3 linked regions of the Neodiprion lecontei genome follow. The protein of the gene in region 1 interacts with the protein of each later gene in a pairwise test. Links are inferred from orthologs where the notes say so. Each region holds a gene or a part of one and is shown on either strand. Other genes may lie near its edges.

The links.
Region 2: the proteins of neogenin (region 1) and E3 ubiquitin-protein ligase TRIM9 interact in a two-hybrid assay, tested with the Caenorhabditis elegans proteins (2 studies listed by BioGRID). The link is inferred for Neodiprion lecontei from reciprocal best matches to the Caenorhabditis elegans genes unc-40 and madd-2.
Region 3: the proteins of neogenin (region 1) and kalirin interact in a two-hybrid assay, tested with the Caenorhabditis elegans proteins (2 studies listed by BioGRID). The link is inferred for Neodiprion lecontei from reciprocal best matches to the Caenorhabditis elegans genes unc-40 and unc-73.

What each region holds. Positions count from the first base shown.
Region 1 is NC_060263.1:14,818,284-14,826,664, forward strand, and holds the start of neogenin, read left to right. Parts: upstream 1-3,262; 5' UTR 3,263-3,568; coding exon 3,569-3,623; intron 3,624-8,381. Other genes in the region: arginine-glutamic acid dipeptide repeats protein, read right to left, coding at 1-219, 603-650.
Region 2 is NC_060262.1:40,956,754-40,964,757, reverse strand, and holds the start of E3 ubiquitin-protein ligase TRIM9, read left to right. Parts: upstream 1-3,192; 5' UTR 3,193-3,731; coding exon 3,732-4,220; intron 4,221-7,635; coding exon 7,636-7,917; intron 7,918-8,004. Other genes in the region: L-2-hydroxyglutarate dehydrogenase, mitochondrial, read right to left, coding at 333-415.
Region 3 is NC_060261.1:5,611,256-5,619,314, reverse strand, and holds the start of kalirin, read left to right. Parts: upstream 1-3,804; 5' UTR 3,805-4,014; intron 4,015-4,188; coding exon of another isoform or gene 4,189-4,210; exon of another isoform or gene 4,211-4,354; intron 4,355-5,881; 5' UTR 5,882-5,909; coding exon 5,910-6,170; intron 6,171-6,259; coding exon 6,260-6,370; intron 6,371-6,849; coding exon 6,850-7,174; intron 7,175-7,278; coding exon 7,279-7,937; intron 7,938-8,059. Other genes in the region: serine/threonine-protein kinase mos, read left to right, coding at 1,416-1,489, 1,559-1,767, 1,857-2,242, 2,309-2,623; U6 snRNA-associated Sm-like protein LSm5, read right to left, coding at 2,783-2,815, 2,920-3,116, 3,355-3,400.

The sequences.
Region 1 (8,381 bases):
TACACAACCGTCATCGGGAGATCCGCCGTCACACATTCCTGCAAAGGCAGCCATAGATCGGGCAGCTCTTAAGTACATCAACAGATCTCCGTCCAAAGCCATGGCCGGGACCCATCGTAGTTCCTCACGTTCTTTGGAGAACTCAGGATCCGGATGAAGATCTCCAGGAGGGATGCCCGGCCTGTACTCAGGCAACCGGGCCTGGCAAGAAACCAACTCCTGTACCCAAAATTCAGGGTAGCGCGCGGTTAGCACCACTGCCAAAGCGAGTTAGTCATGCACACATGTATACCGGCTTGCTTATTCAAAGTGCTAAGCTGAATTTCATAAGGCATAAATAGCTCAACAGAATTCGGTGAAACTTTGCTAGGTTGAAGTTCCTTCTTATTCAGCCGATACAAGTTTACTTGCATTGTTCTATTGTTAGTGCGATGAGAAAGCGATTGTGTTGTTAAAAAAAAACTTTGTTATTGCCGCTGACTTATACTCAATTATTATCTTTTGTACATTCATTAGTTATTAGATGTTATGCGTGAATTATATTAATTATATTTGCAGGGTAGCTATGAAGCAGTGAGGTTTTTCCAAAGAATCGGGCAAACCTGGTGGGATGGACCGACCCGAATCTCGCCTTGGGTACCAGCAGACATCTCCCCCTCCTCCAAAGCTCCACCGTCTTTCTCCAGTGTTTTAACCACTGTCAGTCTCCAAGTCTCAGTAAAGTGCTACCTTCCACCCCTAGGAATTAGTCAGGCGTATAATACATTTGGCACAATATTTTTGTGTGTAATATTAAACAATATAAATCTGTAGGCGATCAGTTTTGCCATTTATTGATAACAGACGATATATAAAGAGAGATCAAACTATGTATGTCTTGAATTTGAAATCAAACATGACTGCCAACATGTATGGAAATGAAGAAGTTTCAACAACGGTGATATTCTGATTTGACAGGTTTTGAGTCAAATTCAACGCGTCGATGAAAAATCACATATTGATGATAAGACTTGATTTTCTTACAAGGAGTAAATTATATTTGTTACTTGAATAGTTAGAGAGACTCAAAAGTTATTCTGAGAATTCGGCTAAAGGGAGTAGAATTTTAACACTACACATGCTCGACTACTACATTGTCGTGAAAATTAAATAATGAAATGGAAAGTTAGTATCAGGTTGACGCAATTAAACCAAAGCAAAGTGTTGGTTAATTTTACATCATGGTTGACGAGAAATATATTTCGTATTTCTATCCCAATGCATTTTGAATAGCTTATTCCATATGTAATCTTAACAAGGGCTCTGAATAGCTATAAAACAGAGTGACTGATAATTTGATGACTTCTTTTAAGCCTGGAAGTAAATTCTATTCAGATAAAACAACAATGAATAACAAATCTGACAGTTGGTCTAATGAGAAAGGATTTTGCGAGATTTGAGACGGTTCATCAAAGGTTGCAAAGTGAGCAATTTCCAACTCATGTTCAGTAATTAACTCTGCAAGTAATTGAGAAAGGGTAACAACAAAGCTTTATGATTAAAGGTTTGCAATTTCTTCTATTGTTGTGCTGTAAATAGCAATATGTGAAAGGTATCTATGATATTTGCATAACAATTAGTAATTCGTAAAAGGGTATGAGGAGAATTTCTGGATCTACATACCTCTAGTAGCCATGCCAATGCGTCATTTGCGAGGATCAGCGGAGTGTCACGGATTCATTTAATTGCGCGACTATTAGACGCGTAGTATCAGCGAACAATGAAGGATTAGGAAACCCTCCTAAGGTAGATTTATCTCAATGGGTTATTGTGGAGAAAAAAACGGTAAACGTTGACCTAGGTGAGAGCAAAGATGGAATTTGTTCAACTGCGTTGTAAAATAATGATAGCAAAAATAGTAATAACAATCATGATGATGATGATGATGATGATGATGTTAATGATGATAATGATAATAATAATAAGAGAATATTAAGGGAATTCAAAAGGGAAAAGTGATGCATGTACCTATGACACCATATATCGCATGAGAAATTACGGATAACTTTAGCCGAAACTTAAATTGTCTTGGCGTTATCTAACCGAGCGTGATATGGGGGTATTTATTCGTTGTGTGATGTTTTTTTTTATTTCTTTTGTCTCTCTAATTCCATGCATTTTCAGTCAGTTAATCGATTGAATAGGGAATAAAATCGATGAAATATGCGTAAAAATAGATGTATGTATGTGGTAAGTATAGATATGTGTAGTAAAACTTGTGGGAGAGGAGGTAACGCTCGGCACTTACCACGCTCCCGACGCCTAGCATCCTTCCAACGTTACGTATAAACTTGCCCGCCCATTCGTTAATTTATGTGTCAGAGTGGCTACGTTAATGTTAACACAACTCCGGGCACATTATTGTTTACCAGTCGCGAATATCAGGCTTTTCGAATATCACACACTACCCATAACACCCAGGCGCGGCCATATTGTCTTCAATTTTTTTCTCTCCCACTTTTTTTCTGGTCTCTCCGCTCGTTCTTTTTTCTCGCTCTCTTGCTCCTACTCCCTTTCGTTCACTCGCTCTCGCTCTCTGTTTTATTTCATTTTGATACAGTCAATCAAGATGTCAATCCCCCATTGTCGTCGTCACGAAATATCAACCACCGATAGAAACGTAACTGCTGTTGCCAAATGGGTACAGCCAGCCCCCTGACACATGCTGCTAAAAGTGGTTCGCAAAATGTCCCTCCATTCTGCCGCCAATCTCCACCACTGGTAGCGCTAGTAGTTGTCTGAAAGGCTTGCGCGCGATCAGCGAGCGAGCGAGCGTGTCAAAAGTCTACTAGCGCCACATAGAGGAACTAAAAAAAGGGGGACAAAACGCGTACAATTTTTTAGTATACGAACAGTAGTGAGTGTCAGGGGGCTGGGTACAGCTGGTTCAAACAAGGGTTTTCCTACGTAGAATTGTTAGCTCGCGATTCGGGTGAATGTGTTAATGAAACAAGATATAACTTAAAGAAATAAATAATATGTACAAACAACGAGGACGAAAATATTGCCACTCAATCGCACTCAATCGATAAGTTTTCGAAATTCCGTGAGGTACTTTGATTCGTCTAACTATATTTTCACCACCGTATCGCTGGTCTGTGTCGTTACTCGTTAGTATTGGCGACGTTGTCGATGATTGAATTTCGGAAACCATTCTAGTTCATGGTTTTTCCGTGTTGGCGCGAGCTGGCGCGAGCCTCTATATTCTACAAAAATGGCGTCGCGTCAGATAGCCAAGAAACTCGGGATGGTGCAGAGGAATTATATCGCTGGCTAGTGATGTTTGGTAATCAAAATCGTTGTTTACTACGACTATAAAAATGAATCGTTACACAAACCTAACAAGCAGCAGTGTGGTGATAGATATCAGTGATTTCGCGCTGAATTAGATATGTTTGTGTCGAACATAAGTCGTGCTACCTTTCAGTGATCGGATGAAGAAGTGTAGGTAATTGTGGGTGGGCAGGCTGGTGAGATCTTTTCAGGATTAAAATATCGGAGAAGACCAAGCTATACACACGTACCTTCGATGGAGTTGAGGGTAGCGCTGATCTCGCTCGCTTTGTTGACGTTCGTCGGCCAAGGTAATTCAATCGCTGAATCAAATTTAATTTATGTTCGACGTACATTTATTCCATTACAGCGTTGCGTTCGAATTTCATACAAAATTCGCGCTAATTAAGTTGATTCGCTAATCATCAATCAAATCGCTCCCCACTTCGCCTGTTTTCTTCAATTTTTTCGTCGATTGAGAATATTACAATCGCAAATAAAACTTCTGGTTATTCCTAACGTAATATAGAATCTCAAGATTTTATTATCGTATTCTGTAATAATGATTTGTAATATGATTGAAAAAGGCAGCAAATAGAACGTACAAATATCAGTTTACATACGGAAGTTGTAATACATAGTATCTACGCATCATACATACGGTTTCGCATGTACAACTTGCGTGTCGATTTTCGCAACGCGAATTTTCTCCTGGGTTTAATCATCTAGTGAAAATATACCTGATGATACAACGCGTATGAATTGATTGTATTTTCTGCTCAAAGATCGGTCGGAGAGAGAATCTTCTAATTATCAATATATTTATTTTTTTTCAAACAATTTTTTTCTCAAAAACTTGTAAAGCGTTCCTGCTGCGCGCGCACGCGTATGCGTGTGTGTGTACTCCTCTTGTTTGACATAACAGCTGCCTCAAATTTACGCACGGTATCTACATGTATAGGCATGAATTTCCATACATGCAATCTTGTTTGCCCGGGTAAATATTTACCCTGAGACTACACGGAGCACGGAGTGGAAAAGAGACATATACAGGTGTAATAAGCCTCGAGAGAATCTTGGAAAATATCTTCTAAACGCCTCTCTGCCAGTCGACTCTTTTTCCCCTGACATACCTGCAAACGTTTTCCATTATTATGGCATCTAATATCCACTGTTGAAAATGTACAATTGAAACGCGGAAGCTTCGAGTCGTTATCATCATACTGTCTGTCCGCCAGCTAGAACCTGTTCAAATTTCGAATTAATGCAAATATCAGCAAATCACAAAGAGAGTATGTGAAGCAGATGAACCAGGATGACCAGGATGATCGCTTCCGCGCATATTCGTGAAACAGAAGAAGGGAGTCGGTGGGTCGTTCGGGGGTATAGCAGTATAAAATGCACGTATAAATAGGGCCGTGAGTGTGCGGGAGAGAAAGAGAGAGAAAGTTATCAAGTTGCGTATAGGCCAGGGAGGAGGAGGATGGCGGAAGATCTCGTGCAGGGTTGCCAATCGCCCGGCACTCTTTTCTTCTCTTCGTTGCACCCTCGTGAAGTACGTTGGGATTGGCTAGTAGCTATATTGTAATTTTGATCCCCCCAGAGTTCAATTCCATTCGAGGCTACAAACTATCGTCGTCGGCGTCGTCGTTGTGTCTCCATTGTGCACCAATAGAGAAATAATTGCCTCGCTTTAATAAGAAGACTTGTCCCGTCGCGTCGAGTCGGGTGGAAAGGGAGAGATGAACTACGGCAACAATCCGACTCTCTCTCTCTTCATACTGACGCTATAGGAACACTATCATAACGAGTCATGCTGAGGAAAATGAGTTATTTCGCGATTTAGGAATTGTCCGAAATTCAGTAAACCGTTACAGAAAGACACACACTCATATTTCGACATCTTAGTTCCTTAAAAATCATTGTAAAATTAAGAAAAGAGTGATTTTTTTCCCAATTTTTCGTAACGCTGACGTTACTAACTTTAACCTCGTACTCTCTCGAATTGTTCTATCGTCGTAGATGGTGACAAATTGTTATATACAATATTATTCTAACGATACGTGAGAAACAGGAGAAATTTACCGAAGAATCCTCATCGCGATGGAACGTTTGATACGAATTTATGATTTTAAGTGTATTGTATAAAGTTATGAGGCGGTGCGCGGTTTTTCTCCATTTCTTCTGAGAATCATGGTCGTCGCCAGCGAGCTCGTCTTTTTCTTTTTTTTTTTATTATGCCCCTTCTAGTTTTACATCGCACGAGATACCGGTTGTTCATGCTGTTGTTCTGGCTGTGTATTAGTAAAACCCTCATTCTCACAAAACAACAACAACAACGCAACGCGCCAGGTGTACGAAAACACTCGAGAGATGTTCGAGCGTAGGTATAATAATTAGGTGTATGTACAGCAGCGGTGAAGGTTTTAAATTTCATCCTTGATGTCCGCTTTCTTGGTTGTCGGAGAAGAGGAAGAACAAGAAGGAAGAAAGGCGATCTAGTTACTGCGGGATTGACAATTTAATTACACGTAGCGTCTATATTACCCGAATGTAACGCTGATCCGACGGGCGGAGGATCGAAGGAATTACGATTTTTCTAATTATTCACACGGTTAATAAACTGTTAACGCGCGTTGCTCTGCGTTTTAATCCTTTGACTCACCCATTGTTGTTCCGAAACAACTTTTATAACAATATATTATTTTTCAAGTTCTCAGGGTGACTGATTACAAATCTGAGATCAGTTTTGGAAAATTGAAGACGGCTGATCCAGTACGGTCAAGAAAATCATCCAAATCTGGATCCAATATGACAGATAAAATTTAAAATGTCATCGGATATTGACGAAAAACTGTATGAATGGGTTTTCGGGGTTACTGTTTACGAATCTGAGATCAGATCTTGAAAATTTAAGGTGACGGATCCAGCATGTAGAACACAAGTTTGGAAAATTAATTAAATTTCGATAGAAATCTAAGTAAAGGAGTTGGGTCGCTTATAACGAGAATTCGAAGTCTAATTATGAAAATTGAAATAGCGGATCCTAATAGTTGCCATGAAATCTCAAAATTTATCCACTCCATGACCTGAATTTAACAAATTCGGTCTACCGTATTGGATACGCCGTTGTGAATTTTCGAAATCTTCTTGCTTAGATTCATAATCAGCGACCTCAAAAACCCGTTTAACATATTTTAGTCCGGGTTCGTTCGAATTTGAACTTTTAGTCCGCCATATTGGATGCGCCATCTTAAGTTTCGACAATTTAACCTGAGATTCACAACCAGAGACCCAAAAACCTCTACATGCAATTTATTGTCTTGATTTGATGAAATTTGAAATACTCTTCCGACATTTTGGATCCGCCACGTTGAATATTCAAAATCTGTCTTCAGATTATGATTCAGTGACCTCAAAATCACATAATCTATATGCTTTCAAGGAAAATTTTCTTGCAAATGAATTATTTCTGCAATTTTCACGTTTTTTCAATCAATTTGGTTATAACAATAATAAAATACGATACATCGGAATAATTACTCTTGAGTCTTTAAGACATATTAGAATAGTCTCAGAAATAGCAAAAGACCGCATGAAGTCGTTGAAGAGTTTGCTAAATATTTAAAAAATGGATACGAAATAGGTGGTAAAAATACCTAGCACTATGAACTCAAAGGGTTAATTAAACACCGCACACGGAATTACATTATGTCGTCTATGGTATAGGTCGGGAATATTACATATTTGCATGTATATGTTACGCAAATATAGACATACAATGAACGTGTAGGAGAGAATAGGAATTTAGTAAAAGTATAAAAACTCCTCGTCGTCGTCTTGCTACTCGTGGTTTACAGACCGTAACGCTAAGATCGTTGCTGCTTGCACTAGAATATCTAAGAAAGGTGGCTTTTGCACGTTGTACAGGAATCTGTAACCTCCGCTACAAGCTAGAAGCAAGTGAGAGGACAGATTTTCTGATCTAAATTGCATCTGTCGATTTCTGCATATTGATTCTACACGAGTATACATAGTTGTATTTATATTATACATGTATTGTGTACTATATGCCGAATTTACTTCGGAAGAATGCAACACGTGTACATATATTGTATACTGTATACATAATGTGTAGGATGCGACAGCCTGCGCCTACGTATTTTCAAACAACAGTTGTCGATGAGTTATTCGACTAGTAAGTCAAGGAAGAAAAAACTAGGACATGGCAAAAATGCAAATGTACTCGCCGAGAAAATTATCCCCCCCCCCATTTTTGGTTGTGAAAAACTCCAGCTTGAAATTACTGTAATTGCGTAATTTAGTCTTTATGCATTTTTTCTTGAGTAATCCTATCTTGTAAATTTAGTAAAGTGACCCTTCGACTTGGCCTCAAGATATTTATTTTGTCGCATGGAGTTTTCCCTCGAAAATGGTTCTTTTAAAACTATGCGTGTGACTTTTTCTCGTAAAGAAATCTAATGTCAAAAGAAATAGCGTCCGAAATACTTTGATTCTACATATCAAGTGAAAAAACTATTGTACAGAAATTTAAAAGAAACGAGATAGAACCGCTAAATGCCGCCCTTCTGAATCTCGATCAAAAATTATCCTCAACGTCACTCGCAAACTTGACAACTTTACAAAGATGACCTTTAAAATTTGGTTATCAAAAATTAAACTTTACCGCGACACAGTTTCCGTAAAAATGGGGCGATCGTCTTTTGAAGAATAAAGATTTCTCTTCGAAAGCCTGTTGTGTTTACATTTTCCCTACATTCTGCAACACCAAAGATGTTGAAGTTCAAACGAAAGACAGCTTGGTTACACCCTTACCTCCGACATTAACATTACTCCAGTTTTTTCACTTCTTACGTAGGATTAAAGTTTTTCGGATATAATATGGAATAACTTTGCAAAAAAAAAAGCGAGACAACAGTGAAAAAAACGAAAACCTTTGGAAGGGAAAACTCTAAGCTAGATAATGGATATCTTGGAAATGTATCAAAAAATTCAGTTCATCCCGTAAGACTGCAATGCGCTAAGTCGAAGGTTCACTTTACAAATTT
Region 2 (8,004 bases), on another chromosome or scaffold:
CTACTCCTGGACTCCTTGTTAATAGGACATGCCGCACTGGCATTATGTAAATAGACATTATACTCTAATAAACTACTTTAATATTAATTGCATAAAACCACACTCCCTCTTTTATATCCACAAGGAAAAAAGACTGGGAAAAATACGGTTATTATCAAATTGAAACCGCATCGCTGTTTGACGGGTTGACGAACGTTTCAATTCTTTTCAATTTCAAACCGAATTCGAACGAATTCGAAATTATATCAATCATCCACTGCCTGTCGACTGCGTAAATCTATTTGTGGAAGAGTAAATATTCACTGTAATATCTTACAGAATTGAATACCAACCTGGTTCCGCTAGTTGAGTATAATTTAGCCAATTGCCGGGCAGGTTTTCGAGCCGACAAACGTATCAGGAAGCTTGCAGACATTTTGATCGTGGGATTTAATTTTTGCGCGCGAATAACCAATTAAATGTTACGAAAGCGAGGAAATTTCCCAGGGTATGTGGGTTCAATCAGCAGTGTCGAAATACTACACTGGGATCATTTGGCATATGCGTGACCGATCCACGTTGACGAGGAAATATTTTGTTCTTATCGATTTTTATATACAATCCAGCGTTTACAGATAAGAATTTCATGCGTATTGACACATCCAATGACTTTTCCTCAAGCGGTGTAAGATTAGCCTTTCATTGTCGCTTCAAGCTTCGTGGATTTTCGATATCTTTGACGAAACTGTCCGTTCCCAAGTCCAAACCCCAGGATTCAATTTTTACTACAGAAACAATAACATGTAAATTAAATAGTAACTGAAATTCCAAATTCGATTTTGACTCGAGGAATTGTCACTCCGATTTCGATTAGTACAAGGCGCGTTTGTACAGGTAGCGAACGTCTATCTAACGAATAAGTGGTTTTCAGAATGATACGCGAAGGTCAAGAACAACGTTATGCAATTAGCGCGATGGTCAAGGACGTACAACGGATGCGTTTGCTGCAAAAATTACACGCAGCCTTTCGTTGTCACGTCAAATCGTACTGAGCTCTACGTTTCGACACAGAAACGCCTGCCAGACACTTTTGCGTCAGACTGTCTTATCGACACTACTGACTGGTGCGTAGTAGAGATTCTGATCATCGGATCCCCCCCTCGTTAACTGGTTTAAAATATCTGATGTGTAAAATAATTTGGCAAATCGTCACCGGTGTTCATTAATGACGTCATGATGACGTCGTGTCGACGTATGCGAGGCTCTTGCTGCGACGGCGCTTGCCATCTCGATTACTAACATCGGCAAGTGGCGCCACCGTTCTTCCAACGTCACGACGGTGAAGCTGTTCGAACGAGACGCGTTCGCGAGTGTTCTTTACTATCGCGAATTTGCAAAATATCGTCACTGCCTATTACGCAAGGAAATACGCTTGTTCTAGTTAGAATATAGACGCAGGATTAATGAACTCCAATTGCAAAACTCTCGAGTGAATAATTGAGGCGGTTTAATCTGCCAATGTTCAAATCACTACTTCGATTCGAACGTAATTGAAATTCAAATTTAGGGCCCCTTATCCGCTGAACTTTACGTTTTGCCATACCTATTTGCTACTTATAGTTAAGCACTCCTGAAATCACTTTTAGGTTTCAATTTTAATCCCCGTACTCTTTCGATAATATAGACTCATACGGTTAAATACGTTTGCAATCGATAAGGTCTAGCAGAGGAAATCACAAACCGACGGACGGTTCACGGGCTATCAAAACTTCGATGCTTTTTTTGGATTGTTAACCGAAGCATACGCGATTACTGTAGAATTATGTTTGTCGGAGACTTGCATGCTTGATCGGGCCCCGACAATGACAAGACTCGACGCTTCCAGAGGTCCATCATGCAACTGGCCCTTTTCATCCCCTCCCTTGTCCTTGGAAGCAGATCTCCACTCTCCGTCCGATGCAACTCGACGTTCGACTTTCGATGGAACGAAGTTTATACCCATATACCTGGGTGGGTATGTTGTTTAAAAAACGACAACAAAGAACGGTGCCGGAGAATGGTTCAGGGCTACAAGAGTTGTACCGAGGAGAAGAAAAAGAACGACGCTACGGCAGATTAGGTGCGATGATACAAGATCGTAAAATATGAACTACCTGGTGCAGTACAGTGTATAATAGGAAAGTTGACATGCTGTCCTATTTTATAACAGTGTAGAATTTTCAGCGCTTCTTATCTTCGTCGTTGTTCAATTTTTATTCTACTTAAGCTTTAAAATAATTTTCAACCCAGGTAGATACGTCTTTCATTCCGGTACTGTCTGCAGCGCTATTATACCAACGTATTTCTCAACTGTGTATTTTTCCTCGCTGGATAATCCCAAGCAAACATGAGGGGCTGCTTATCTTACGGTTTTACCAATGGATCGATAGTGGTTTGAAGTAACACACACCGCTGAATGATCGATATTCCACTTCATTACAAAAAATGGATCGAAGTAACTGTGTTCAATCGATAGACAGGTAATCAGGCTGATGCAAATAGTATCACTGAAAATTCAATTGGACACCTGCAATGGTGTAGCAATTTTTTTTTTGCAACATATCTCCACAGGTGTAGCGACAGTAAAAGTGTCTCCTTATCGCTTGAAAGAGAACACCTATATCGGTACATGGTGCAGGAAATCGTGCTGGCGAGTCAACAACTCATATGTAATGTATATAGTTATATATTCTTTATTTGTACGTTGATTATATTATCTGGTAGTTTCCAGAGTTTATACTTTTAACTGCATTCACCTCTGATCGTAAATCCGTGAAGAATTCAGTTTTGCTTATTTCTCCAAAGACTCTTTCATCTTTCAGCGTAGCTAAAACGTTTGAAAAATTCGTTGATATCCCCGATTACAACCACTCCCTTAACACCCTTAAAACGCTTAGAAAAATATAGAGTCCAAGAAATGGTTAATTCTATGCTTCATAATCGTCTCGACTGTACGTTTGTTTCCACATAGCTGTGACCTGGAGCACAGCAAATGATCTCTGAATGGTATAAGTCTATGGAACTGGCAGACCCGTGTTTACAAGCTATTTTCGTAGATACACCGAGCGAACGGTCGTTTTTGAGTTCAAGTAAGCCGATTTGTCAATACTCTCGACTTTCGACCGTAGAATACCTATTACCATAACAAAAATAATCTCAAGGGCGTGAAGTTGCCCGGTTTTCAGACAACAGACAAAAGGAAGATTCGTCACGTCATCGACGGCGCCCCAAACGAACGTTCACAAGTAGATAAACCCCCTTTCTACGGTCCTGAGAGGAATCCGTGCGTGGACCGTCTGCGCAGCAGCGTTCAGTCCGAGAACCGGGAGTCAGTCAACCCAGTGGCAGCCTGCCGTTCGGGCCAGCTTGACGTCTCTCCTGGATGCATAGCTGTACGTCGGGTCGACATTGGTTCCGAGGAGTGCAAGTGCGGTTTCAATTGAACGAGGAAACGGGACCGGGGTGAAGTTCGCGCCGGAAAGTCTACAAGTAACACAAGAGTGCTATATATTATTTAAAATTGTAATAAAAAAAAAAACCGAATCGCAGCTCGTTATTGTACTAACGAGAAGTTTTTTAGTTCAGTGCCTCCACGGGGAGATGATATTGTGATAAGGTGTCGTGCGATGCGCCGATTCGTGAGGTGAACCGATCCTCAAACACCGATCGGCGCCGAGCCGAGGACTTGAGACCTTGTGGTTCCGACGCTCGGCATGGAGGACGAGCTGCGATGCCCCTCGTGCAAGGAGCTCTTCTCCGAGCCTGTGTTGCTGCCCTGCTGGCACGCGCTTTGCCTCTCTTGTGCCGTGGGCCTTCAGGCCCCCCCCGATTCACAGCCGGAATGTTGCGCCCCCGATCCGGCGGGAAACGGGCCCGACCAGGAGGCCGATAAGCTATCGATACTGTCGGAAACCGACTCGGGGGTCGTTTGCAGCAGTACCTCGACCTCCTCGCGACCCGGAAGCTACGTCGGCACACCGGGGAACGGAGGGTTTCCACCCTCCGGGGGCACCCTCTGTCTTGCATGTCCTGTTTGCCAGAAGATGGTCTACTTTGACGAGGGTGGTGCGCACAATTTACCCAAGTACAGGGCCATGCAGCACATCGTTGACAAGTACCAAGAGGCCCGGAACGTCAGGCTTCAATGTCAGATGTGCGAGGCGGACCCTCGGGAGGCAACCGTCGCCTGCGAACAGTGCGAGGTGAGCCAATTCGACGTTCACATCACGCCACTAGAGTTTCTTTTCATTCAATCGGATTAACGTTTCATTACGATCACTCTTTGGGATTGTACGAGATACGGTAGAACATAATCAAGGAAAACATGCCCAAATTTTACAAGGCTGAAGTTACTGCCATTAATGTGACGAAACTTTGTAACAAAAATTATTATTTTGCACCTTTCGAACACCTGAAAAACTTGAATTCACAGAATCTGAGTTTGATGATATCCTGTAATAACAGTTTACGAAATTTAAAGTAATCCTAAAGTTGTAAAATAACGACTTTTTCCAAAGATGTATCGTTACATTACCGTTACAAATTTCAGCCTGATCAAATTTTGCAGTCATTCTAAAGTTGGAAAATAGACATTTTTTTTTTGTCGTGCTTGGCTATCATAACTTTACTAACTTCGATCTCGTGATTTGTTCAATTTTTTTTCCCTAGTTTAGTATAGTACGTCTTTAACGGAATTGAGGTATAATCAACTAACAGACTGTGTCTGTGACTGTGTGTCTTTTGGGGGGTATTTGGTTATTTCAAATTCGGAGTAAATATTTCTGAATTCTGTGTTCAAATTTTAACACAATTCATCACAAATTCGGATGACGTTGAAGTTAGTAACGTTATTGCAATGATTTACGTTTCGAAAAATCCGTTATTTCGTAATTTTAGGAGTCTCTGAAATGCAGTAAATTATAATAAGGCAAATCGGTAATTCATATTTTCAACACTTAGCCATTTCAAAGTCACTACAAAATTGCAAAATAGTAATTTTTTTCCCCAATGTTTCGTTACTTACGCTAACGTTACTAACTTCATGGTCATGAATTCGAAAACTTGTAAGACCGTTTTCGTAGTGGGCATAAAAATCGTAGGACGGGATTATTCAGTGTTCTAAAATCCGGATTAGGTTCGGAGTGGTTCAATATTCGAATTTTAACGGAAGTCGTGCGATTAAAACAATTTCGAAAACTTAAAAACCCCATAAAGTGTAGGAAAACATCGAATCATCGTACGTTTCAACATTAGAATTCGATTCTGGGTTGCCAGATTTGATTGAGAATATCGGATCTTAATGGAGTTTAGGGTGACCTGGAAAACTTGGAAAATCTGAGAATCCCACAGGGAAATTTTGTGGCAGAAAGGATCTCGAAGTTTGGCACTCGGAACGTTCTCGTTCGATTTAAAATTCACGAGTTCAACAATCGAATCTTTTAATGGAATGTATCCAATCTTAATAGCGTCTTAAAATGCAGAAACCGTTTAAATTGCACAGGATCTCTTGAGTAGCAGGAATCGAGTCACCCAATTTTTTCACCGTTGTTTAGCCGATCAGAGTCAGTCATCGACAAATCTACAAGTACAAAATTTGCTAAAAATCTGTGCAAATACGAAAGTGCGCAAACTTCCCGGGCTCTTTGATGTCCGAGAGATGAACCGAGGGTTTTACTTCAATTTCGGTGAAAATCCAGTCCCACGTAGCAGTATTTGCTTGAAACCGTATTTTGCAAAAAACGCGTCTGCAGATGACAAAGTCCCACGAGTCCTTTTACGGGGTTCGAATAAAGGTTCTTCACGATCATCGACGTGATTCAAGCAATGAAATTGAACCACCAGCATCGCGTTCCCCAGCCTTGATAGGACAGCTGTGTTGATCCGAGTTTAATTACAGTTGTTCGACAGTTTACAGGATTATATATTTGTCAAGAGAACTGTTTAACCGACTATTTCCGTTTCTGTCCGTCCCTCGAACTTCCGAAAGGGAAACCTCCGCGATAAATTCTTTGCTCCTCTCTCCCGCTTCTTCTACCTTGTTAGATGCTATTTCCTCTTTGGAGGTGTGTGCCAAAAAGTCTCTTCACTTCACTCGCCCACCTTAACCCAGTTCTCCGCAGAATGTTGTTACCCTTACTCTCATCTCACCTCCGTTCAGCGGTGAGATTAGTTTAATTGTAGACCGCCTGAAATAAAGCCCCACCTAGTGTCAGAAGAAATAAAATATTGGTATATACATAAAAAAAAAAAAACACTTTCAACTCTGGGATTAGATTAGATACACAGGTACACGTGTATTGCTCTGTAGAGATTTTTCTATCGTCATGTATTCTGCATAATGTTATTTGTGTTTTTCAAAGAGAGAACTGGCCGTATGACATTTCCGCTGTTGTTGATCTCTCCGGGATGACGTAAAAAAACGGCGAAGTATATTCATCATCCATAATCTCTCCACGTTTTGACGTATATCGTGTGATGAGATTAAAAAACGGGGGGTTTCGAACGAAGGGCTTACCTCAGGATCCCTCGCGTCATTAGTTACCCTGTCATTCAATTCTATATCAAATATAATGGCTCAACTTGGCTCATTTGAGATCCCTCCAGGTAGGATTATCGTTGTTCTTGTTGTTGTTCTTGTTAGGTATCATTGTTTCCGAATTAACTCCGTTGAATTACATACGCAACACAGGCACATTGAGAAACTCAAACTCACTCTGGTCTTATCAAAGGTCGTACCCTAATTGAGAGAAACCTTTCTTGACGAGTCGCAAAAAACAACTGACTGAATTTTCTAACTGGAATTCGAGCATTTACAAACAAGTCAAGTTTCGTCGATGATGAATCTCTCCGCATGTATCTGTACAGTAACCGAATTCGATTTTGTTTATCTTCCTTTTCTCATTTCTCTTTTCTTTTCATATACTTCCGTTATACGCTGACAGATATTTGAATTACTCTAAATTGTATATCCCAAACACATATACATCCTAACCAATAAATTCAGAATTTTTTTAATCAATTGACTATAAGCTCTCGTGAAACGTAAAAGAACAATAAAAATTCAGCGATGGATTTTGTGGTCACATTTAGTCATTTTCAACGACGTATAACACGTAGATAAATTAATTTTTACTTTCCTTTTTACGGCTCATTTCGGTCACTTTCATTTATCAAATCTGGCTACATTCCGTATGACATAATAACACCTCAAAGGGTGTTTGTGTCCACTTGATTAGCCGCTTACTAATACGCCTGGAATCTATATCCGATTATCACCAACTGTCTCTATTCAAGCATAAATAATCAATGAATCCATTCGAGCATCTGATTACATAGCAGCTAAATCGGTTAATCGACCCCTAATTATAACAAACAGTCCCGATTACTACGTTCGGTTTGATATTGTATCGCGTTGCTTCTACCAAGTGCAGCGCGATTAATTGAATTTTTCGATTAATCGTTTTTCCAGCTAATCGATTAGTCGACGGTTTCGATTCATATACCGATTTGCCTGGAGAATTATTATAAGGCAAGTTCGATTAATCGAAGAAACGATATTTTTTCCCGACGATCACTAAAATCCTTGTTATTGATACGAACCTTTCCGCAAACTTTCAGGTTCTCTACTGCGACTCCTGCCGAGAATCTTGTCACCCCAACAGAGGGCCCCTGGCCGCTCATAACCTCGGACCACCAAGGGGCAGCTGGCAGTCCTCTTCGACGAGGCAACGAGGACCGGGTGACCCGGGTGCGACGGGGTGCGCCGAACATCCTACAGAAATGGTTTGCCTCTACTGCGCGATGTGCAAAAGCGCCGCATGCTCGTTGTGCCTTCGGGACAGACACGCCGCTCATCCCCACGACGTGCTGCCCCTCGCCGCTGCCTGCAAGGCCCAAAAGGTACGTCCCTGAACTTCTTCCCCCACCCCCGATTCAAAGGATTCAGTCGTTTTTTCTACCTGCGAGGTTCGTCCGTCTACAGTTACA
Region 3 (8,059 bases), on another chromosome or scaffold:
TATTGTTAAGTATAGACGGTTTTACGAAACTGGTAAACCGAAATTGTCCGTGTGGCATCTCATGCATGTTATTAAACTAAGTTGGTTCATGATGTTCAGGCCTTTGTCAGGAGAGTACCAATAGATGCAACACGAGATTGGTGCATGGCGCCAGGGGATGATTAAAATTGACCAAGAGGATTGCATGTGATCTTTGTTAAAAGTATAGCCAATTTTTTGGCGTAATAGGGTATGAGCGTAGGGTTGCATTTGGGTAGGCATTTTTTTTTTTAGTAAGACAATAAAGTTGGTGCTATATGTATAAAACTGTGTATACACAAGTACCTGATTGGTGAATGTATGCAGCAGGATTAGATATGAGCTTTGTTGGAGATGAATGGGAAATATTAGTACGGTACGGATAAACAAAGGAGGGATTTCCATAAAATTCTAACTCTTGACAAAAATCTGTTTGTGTAATTTGAATTACATATCGTGCAGGTATAAATAATATGGAAATTCTTATATTTTTCGATAAATAAGAATCGTGTATGCTTATGAACGAACTCTTTCGAGAATTATAATATACGAAGGCATAAACATTTTGAACCAAAATCAAAGTGATAGTCATCCAATGATGTATCGCAATAAAGCAGATATAATGTATTAGATATGATATATACGATACAAAATAAGAAGCAAAGAAAATATTGTATTTTGATTCCGTAGAGTATTTTACTAATCAATATGTTCTTATTGAAAGTTGAAAATCATTATTGACACTCCTTCGATCCAACACGTAGTACAACCATTTAAAAAAAGAACAGAGAATGAAAAACGAAATTACTTAACTATTGTTATTCACGTAACACAAATAATTGAGAAATGGTAATAAATTCTCCTAGATGATTGTGATAGAAAACCGTGTTGCTCTAAACTAACGGTACTTATTATTGTTAACTATCTAATAAATTAGATTTCATTAGGTATACGGCTTTACATCTACAGTATATCATTGAGACATGTTATTATAGCCACACCACAGATATTACCTATATTGAGAGATTATTACAATCATCCTTGTTATTAAATAGTGAAAACGTTATTGTAAATAATCAAGTTAAAAATACAGTATTAAAAGTAATAATTAGTAATAGGCTCGTAGCAGCTGGATTATGCCTTAAGTTTAGAGAATAAAGAAAATATTTAAAATACGTCAGTCATTCACCTTCATCTTAGAATTGAAAAGAAAAAAAAATATCTGTACATAATACATAAACATGCATCAAGTTCAATAATACCCTTCATAATATTTGTTTTGAGTTGTGTGTTTAGTCTTCCGGTAGACACATAGAGGTATATATTTATGTCAATCACTGTAATTGGTCAAGTTGTTCATTCTACCTGCAGAAGAAATATAATACAATATATTTCGAATGGCTTCTCCAAGAGGAATTTTTGAGATCGGAAGGCTGGCACCACGGTCGCCTCAAATTGTTCAAAATATAAGGTGTGTTATTATTAATACTTGGTCGCTAAAACTGCAAATGTAATACATATGTATTTACAATGTTCAAAGATTTACAAGTAGTCCAAAATCACCTCTCCGGAACAATTTGAGCACAGACTGTGTGGAAGCGAAAATAAATACAAAACCATGTACATTGTCGCTAGTCAATGTCGATACTCCAAACCGAAAGAAAATTTTAAATACTGGACTTACCCACTGTACAAGAAAGATTCTCGGCAGTGGTGGATTTGGAACCGTGATTCAAGCATCTTACAAAGGTTTGAAGAATATTGTGAAATGCGGTCACTTGATGAAAGGGAGCCGATATTTTTTTCCTATCCTGATTTTATCATATCATATATAACAGGTGATCAGGTGGCTGCGAAAATACTTAGAAGAAGGAAAGACAGTGATAACTCCGTGATATCAGAGAAACATGCCACCACTTTGAGACATGCTAATGTCATCAGGATACTGGGCATTGAACAGGGAGAAGTTTTCTCAATGATTACTATGGAATTGTGTGGTAAATCTCTGCAAGAAAGACTGGATGAGGGACCATTGAACTGTCAAGAGCGATTAAATATCTTCAAGGCAATTACTTTCGCTATTCAATTCTGTCACCGAGCTGGCGTGGTTCATGCCGATGTGAAGCCAAAAAATATTCTCATGGCCGCAGATGGCAACCCAAAATTAGCAGATTTTGGTAGCTCCGTTCTTTTGGGGGAAGAAGACACATATACAGGAATTCGAGTAGGTTTTTTAGTTTTGCATCACGATTTCATTCCCTAAATCACCAGGTTTATGCCATATTTTCAGGGTACACCTGGTTATGTAGCCCCAGAAGTAATCAGAGGGGAATTACCCTCTCCACCTTCAGACATATATTCCCTGGGAATTTTGGCCTGGCAAATGCTAAGCAGGACTTTGCCATTCGCTGACCTCCATCCTCACGCTATTTTGTATCTCACTGGGAAAGGTATAAAACCGGAGGATTCAATGCTGGATGATAATTTAGGTGGCAAGTATAAAGCGTTGTATTCAAAGATGTGGTCATTTGAAAAAACAGATAGACCCAGTATAGATGGAGTTGCAACGGAGCTTCAAGATTTAGAGGTCGAAGCAAAGTGTTGAAGTTAATTAGAAATGGCAAAGGCTCAATGATGATACGGGATAAAAGGAAGACAATGCAGAAATGTTTACAAAAGAAAATCATTGTTATTTGAATAAATTTTTACAATCACATAGCAGTAAATGTCAAAAGTATTATACATGAAATCACAGGGGATGAGATTATGTTTCTGGCATATCACCTCCAGGTACTAACTGAAACAGGAAAGAAAAAATGATAGTCAAACTGTTGCAATAAACCTTGTTGTGCATTTTAAACACATCATGCTATCGAAATGTATTTGTATTTCCATATTAACCATCGTAATGTTATTTCCATTGAGGAGGATCTGATCCAATTTTGTAACTCTGCGTCCCTCGGGTGTTGCTTCGCTTTCAGTCACATCATCCAATAACATATTCACAAAGTCATCAAATCCTTGTAATGTACCCACAATTTCTTTATCATTTTTCATGATAATGTGAATGCGGGAGCCGATGCACTTGTCCACCAATTCTGTAAAGTAAAATTCAATGAAATAAAACATCAGTTAATAGAGAAAATTAAGATGATCGATAATGAGCAAGGTTGCAGAAAATACGAGAATGTAAAAGACACGTGGACTACCCCGAACTAATGGCATATATTTTAAAACGTATTTTAAAAATACACAAAAAATAAATAATAAACAACGTCGTTCTGTCGTTAGATCATAGAGGTTAGGAAAAATTTCGTTATTATTTTATTTATTTACCTAGCGGCAAAAGCGTGGATGGATTCGTAGTCACAGAGCTAGTCATTTTGGGAACAGAATAGTCTCGTCAATCGGTATTAATATACCCTCACTTTTTAACCAACTAACAATCAACTAATTAAGCGGGACGGCAATCCGGACGTCCTGTAAAATGACTACGCGTCGTTGGATTCGAAACACCGGTAGTTGCGCGCACATTGCCGTTGCCGTCGTGCTTATATCGCATGGAGGTGGCTTCCCAGTAAAAGGCAATTGCCGTACACTCTGTCTCTCTCGCTCTGCGCTGCGATTGGCCGAACGCGCATATCTCGTAATGCTCAGCCAATCAGAGTGTAGAGAAAGAGAGACAGAGTATACTGGCATTGCCCTTTGGCCGTTGCCCATTTGGCGCATATTATTCAGTGATGATTCGATGTCGACAGCAGCGCCGCCGCGACGGTCGACGGGAGAAGCAGAAGGTATCAGCGGCGAGGTTCAGCAGCAATGTAGAATTTGTAGCCGAACATGGCAGAAGTATAACTCTTTCGTTATTTGTGTGATTTTGTAAATGTGCCAATGTGCGAGCAATATGAGTTACGTTAAAAGTTATTTTCCAATTAGACATGACAATTGTATTAAGTTAGTGATTCAAAGTGATTTCCCGGAGTTAACTGTACCGAGGTAAGAGATATCACAATATTCATTTTAATTGTTGTGTCCGATGGGGTGGATTTGACAAGCTCTCTACTATCCGTAGATACATAGCTATTAATACATATATATCTACATGCAACTTCTAGTATCTAATTATAATATCGTTGTAATGAAACAACAACGGTTATGTATAATACGCACGTCGCTTTGTTAGATGTATCATCAAACAATGTCAAAGGGGACGTTTTGTTCACGCTGTATATACCTACTTCAGAGGCTGTCTACCCAGCTCCCTGACCACGCGATTTTTTTTTTCTTTTTCTCTCTTTCTCGCTAACGTACAGACTTCCCGATTGATTTGCCCCGTGAACACTCACCGAATGGACTTGGTATCTGGATACCTAGTCACTCTTCCATCCTAATTTACACATGGTATATTATCCGTTGAAAATGATGAAAAAATGATAACAAAAACACCCCGTCTTCTGTTATGATACCATCGAAATGTTCTATTCTATCACCTCATATTCCGGTTGCCGCACAATTTTCGCCTCTACAAATTTATTACGCACATATATACGTGCGTGTATGCATGCGTACGAACACGCCAAATACATATTCCATTTTGCATTCAACGTTCGTATTATTATTCTTATTCTATCTTCGGACCAAATTTGACTACTTGTCCTCGCAATTCGTCGCACGCTGCTCGCGAATTGCTAATTTAAATAATTCCATTCAACAGGTGTAAATTTCACGATTTATTTAATCGAATTTCAATCAATACTAATATTATTTATCTATCACACACCGCTCAACTACCCCAGCTCTTACCTCATAATCTCATTTAAACCATGAAAACTATTTTCCCAAATATTTCGCCAGTTACAAATTTTATTAATTTTCACCCATCTGGAAACGATTATTATTCTCATCTCGTTGTTCTTTGTGCCTCGTTTCCCTGTATGAGAATTACCTCTTGACTCGTGAAGAATGAAAAATTTCCTAGAATCTTTGTCCTGCTCAGAATAATCATAATAATAACAATAACAATCTTTTACCAGGGAACACGTTTCTCGTAGATATTAATTTTCAGAAATGATGTTGCCTCTTGCTGCATACTATATTTAACATATCAAGGCCATCTCAGGCATTTTTGACAAATGTTAAAGTACTTTCATTGTTGAATTCATTATTTGCTAGAATTGTTTGAACGTGGAAAATACAATCTGTATGTTCTTAAATATATATAAATAAAGTTAATGATTGTACCATAATTTTTCATTCAGTCTTATGTGAGTGAGTTACATTTAAAGGAAAAAATTTTCTGCATTAATCTTTATTCACTAGATGTTATTTCATTGTTATATTGTATATTGTACGTGTAACATTTCCGTACTTCTTTGTGTGAAACCATTGACTTATCAGCGATGTGATACTCAGTTCAAAGAACATCCAAGGCTTACTGCTAATGATCTATTTTAACACAGTCATATGTTAAAATACCAAGTATTTTGTTAGTCACTTTGATCGCTAATATTGAGTAAGTAGAAAAGTTTTTCATCAGAATTCTTCGCCCTTTCTGCAGTACTCTCTGACCGTTTCTGGTCAGGCTATCCAATTTTACTCAAGTTTATCTTATCAGCTTTTGTGGCAGTGAACTGTTTCAGCACCGAAAAGGACAGGAACGTGATTTTCTCTTATTTTAATTCATTCTTTTACTATTCTTTGATGTCGAATAAAATTGATGAATTTTCCTGATTTCAATGGATCTACTAAAAATACAGTCCGTTCTTTATCATTTGTCTCATTATGTCTCATTATGTCTCATCCTCTAATGTTACTTCCATTCCTTTCCCTGCATTGAACTTGTTATTCATCAGTTGATTTTCAGGTCGGATGCTCACTAGGGTACCGACGAAATGGATGGCACTCGAGCGGCAGAGGTACTTCCTCTGCTACAAGAACGACTAGCGATATTACCGGGTGGACGCGATCGCCGCGGCGGTCCCGTTCTCGTCTTTCCTACAACTCCGAGACGAGAACGTGCTAAACCAGAAGATTATCGTCGTCTTTTACAGTATCTTCTAGCCATTCCTAATGACGAAGCAAGGGGGCTTGGTTTCACCGTCGTCGTTGATATGCGTGGAGCTACCTGGGGCACAGTGAAACCAATTCTCAAGGTTTGTTTATAGAAAACTGAGACTTGAGCGTAATTGTGACAATGCAAATATTTGGCTGTACGACAATAAATTTTAATTGACACTTTCAGGTTTTACACGAACATTTTCCCGGATCAGTACATGTTGCCTTTATCATAAAGCCTGACAACTTTTGGCAGAAACAAAGGACCTCGTTGGGCAGCCACAAATACAAGTTTGAGGTAAATATTAGAATCAATAATAGGTAAGGGGTGAATAGCAGAGCTATATAGGAATTGTGCAAGGCCTCTGCTGCAGTAGCAGCAGGGTCTTGTGCCCTAGTTTGGCACAATGTCAGTTTTGTATGGAGCGTTCATTGAATTCACTGATGCAGCAAAATGTGAAGCCCTCCTCCCCATTGTACCGCAAACATTGGTGCCAAGAGTAAATACATTGCAGCATTATTGAACTTCACATTCACAATCTCACTTGCATTCACACGCATGTCTCGAGCACCGGATTACACTTTGGTAGAGGAGCTGACCTTTAAAAACCAATATGCAACTCGTTTGTCTATATCGCATGAATCCTCATGTAATTGCGTCAGCAGCATATCTTTCTTTCAATTACAGGTGGATATAAATAAACGATTGACAATTACTTTTAGCGATTGACGTGTTACTCATAATAACACATCGATTTTTCTTTTTTTCACTTTCAGACCAACATGATCAGCCTTGAAGCATTGAGCAAGGTGATAGAACCCTCTCAGCTCACTGCCGATTTAGATGGAACGTTTCAGTACGATCACGCTCAATGGATCGACACTCGGCTCGCTGTAGAGGATTTTACTTGGCAGGCCGCAGACCTGCTCGACAGATTGGACGATCTGCAAGAGGATCTGAGTCGCAATGACTTTGCCGATGATGTTGGAGGTGCTAAACATGGCATCGATCTTCACAATGAAATGAAGAAGAAAATCATGAAAGTACCTGTCGAAGAGGTTGAAGTAGTCGGACAACGTCTGCTTCAACGCTTCAACAGCGGTATGTAAAAATTACACTCTCAGTGTACACTGCTAAGTGGTGAAATTCACTCAAAAGTAGCAGTACAGTTTATTTAGATCCTTTGGTCAATTATTGGTGTCTAGGAATGAGCGGAACAGGCGGAGAAGGCGGCAGTATTGAGGCTGGAGCCACTGGTGGAGCAGATCCCGATGGCCGGGCCCTGGCTGCACTGGTTATCCAGCATTTGGATTCCGTTCACGCAGCGCAGCAACATCTTCTGCAACTTTGGCACATAAAGAAGATGAAATTAGACCAGTGCTTCCAACTTCGCTTGTTCGAGCAAGATTGCGAGAAAATGTTTGATTGGATATGCCACAACAGGGAAGAATTTCTCAAAAATTACGTGGAGATTGGTAGATCTTATCAAGCAGCTAAAACATTGCAAGAAAATCACAAGCACGATACTATGAGTTCGATGAACGTTTACGTTAATATTAATAGAATATTAACGATGGCTGGTAGACTTCTAGAAACTCAACATTACGCGGCTGGTCACGTTCGCGCCGTTGCTGGAAGACTGGACAGAGCTTGGAAAGAATTTGCGGCAGGACTCGACGAGCGTACCGCAGTTCTTGGTTTGAGCGTTGTCTTTCATCACAAGGCAGAGCAATACGTAGATAGCGTTGCCGGATGGAGTCAAGCATGCGATGCAACAAATTTACCCAGTGAAATTGCAGTTCTTGAATCTCACATCAGACAGCATCAAACTCTCTACGAAGCTATGTGTCAGGCTTACACCGAGGTGAGTTTAAAATTTTTCACTGCAATTCTGTAATTTACTACAGTGGTTTACAGAATTGTATGAAACTTATTCTTGTTTTGGGTAATATCATTAATTCGAATGATTATTTATGGTGAATGGCT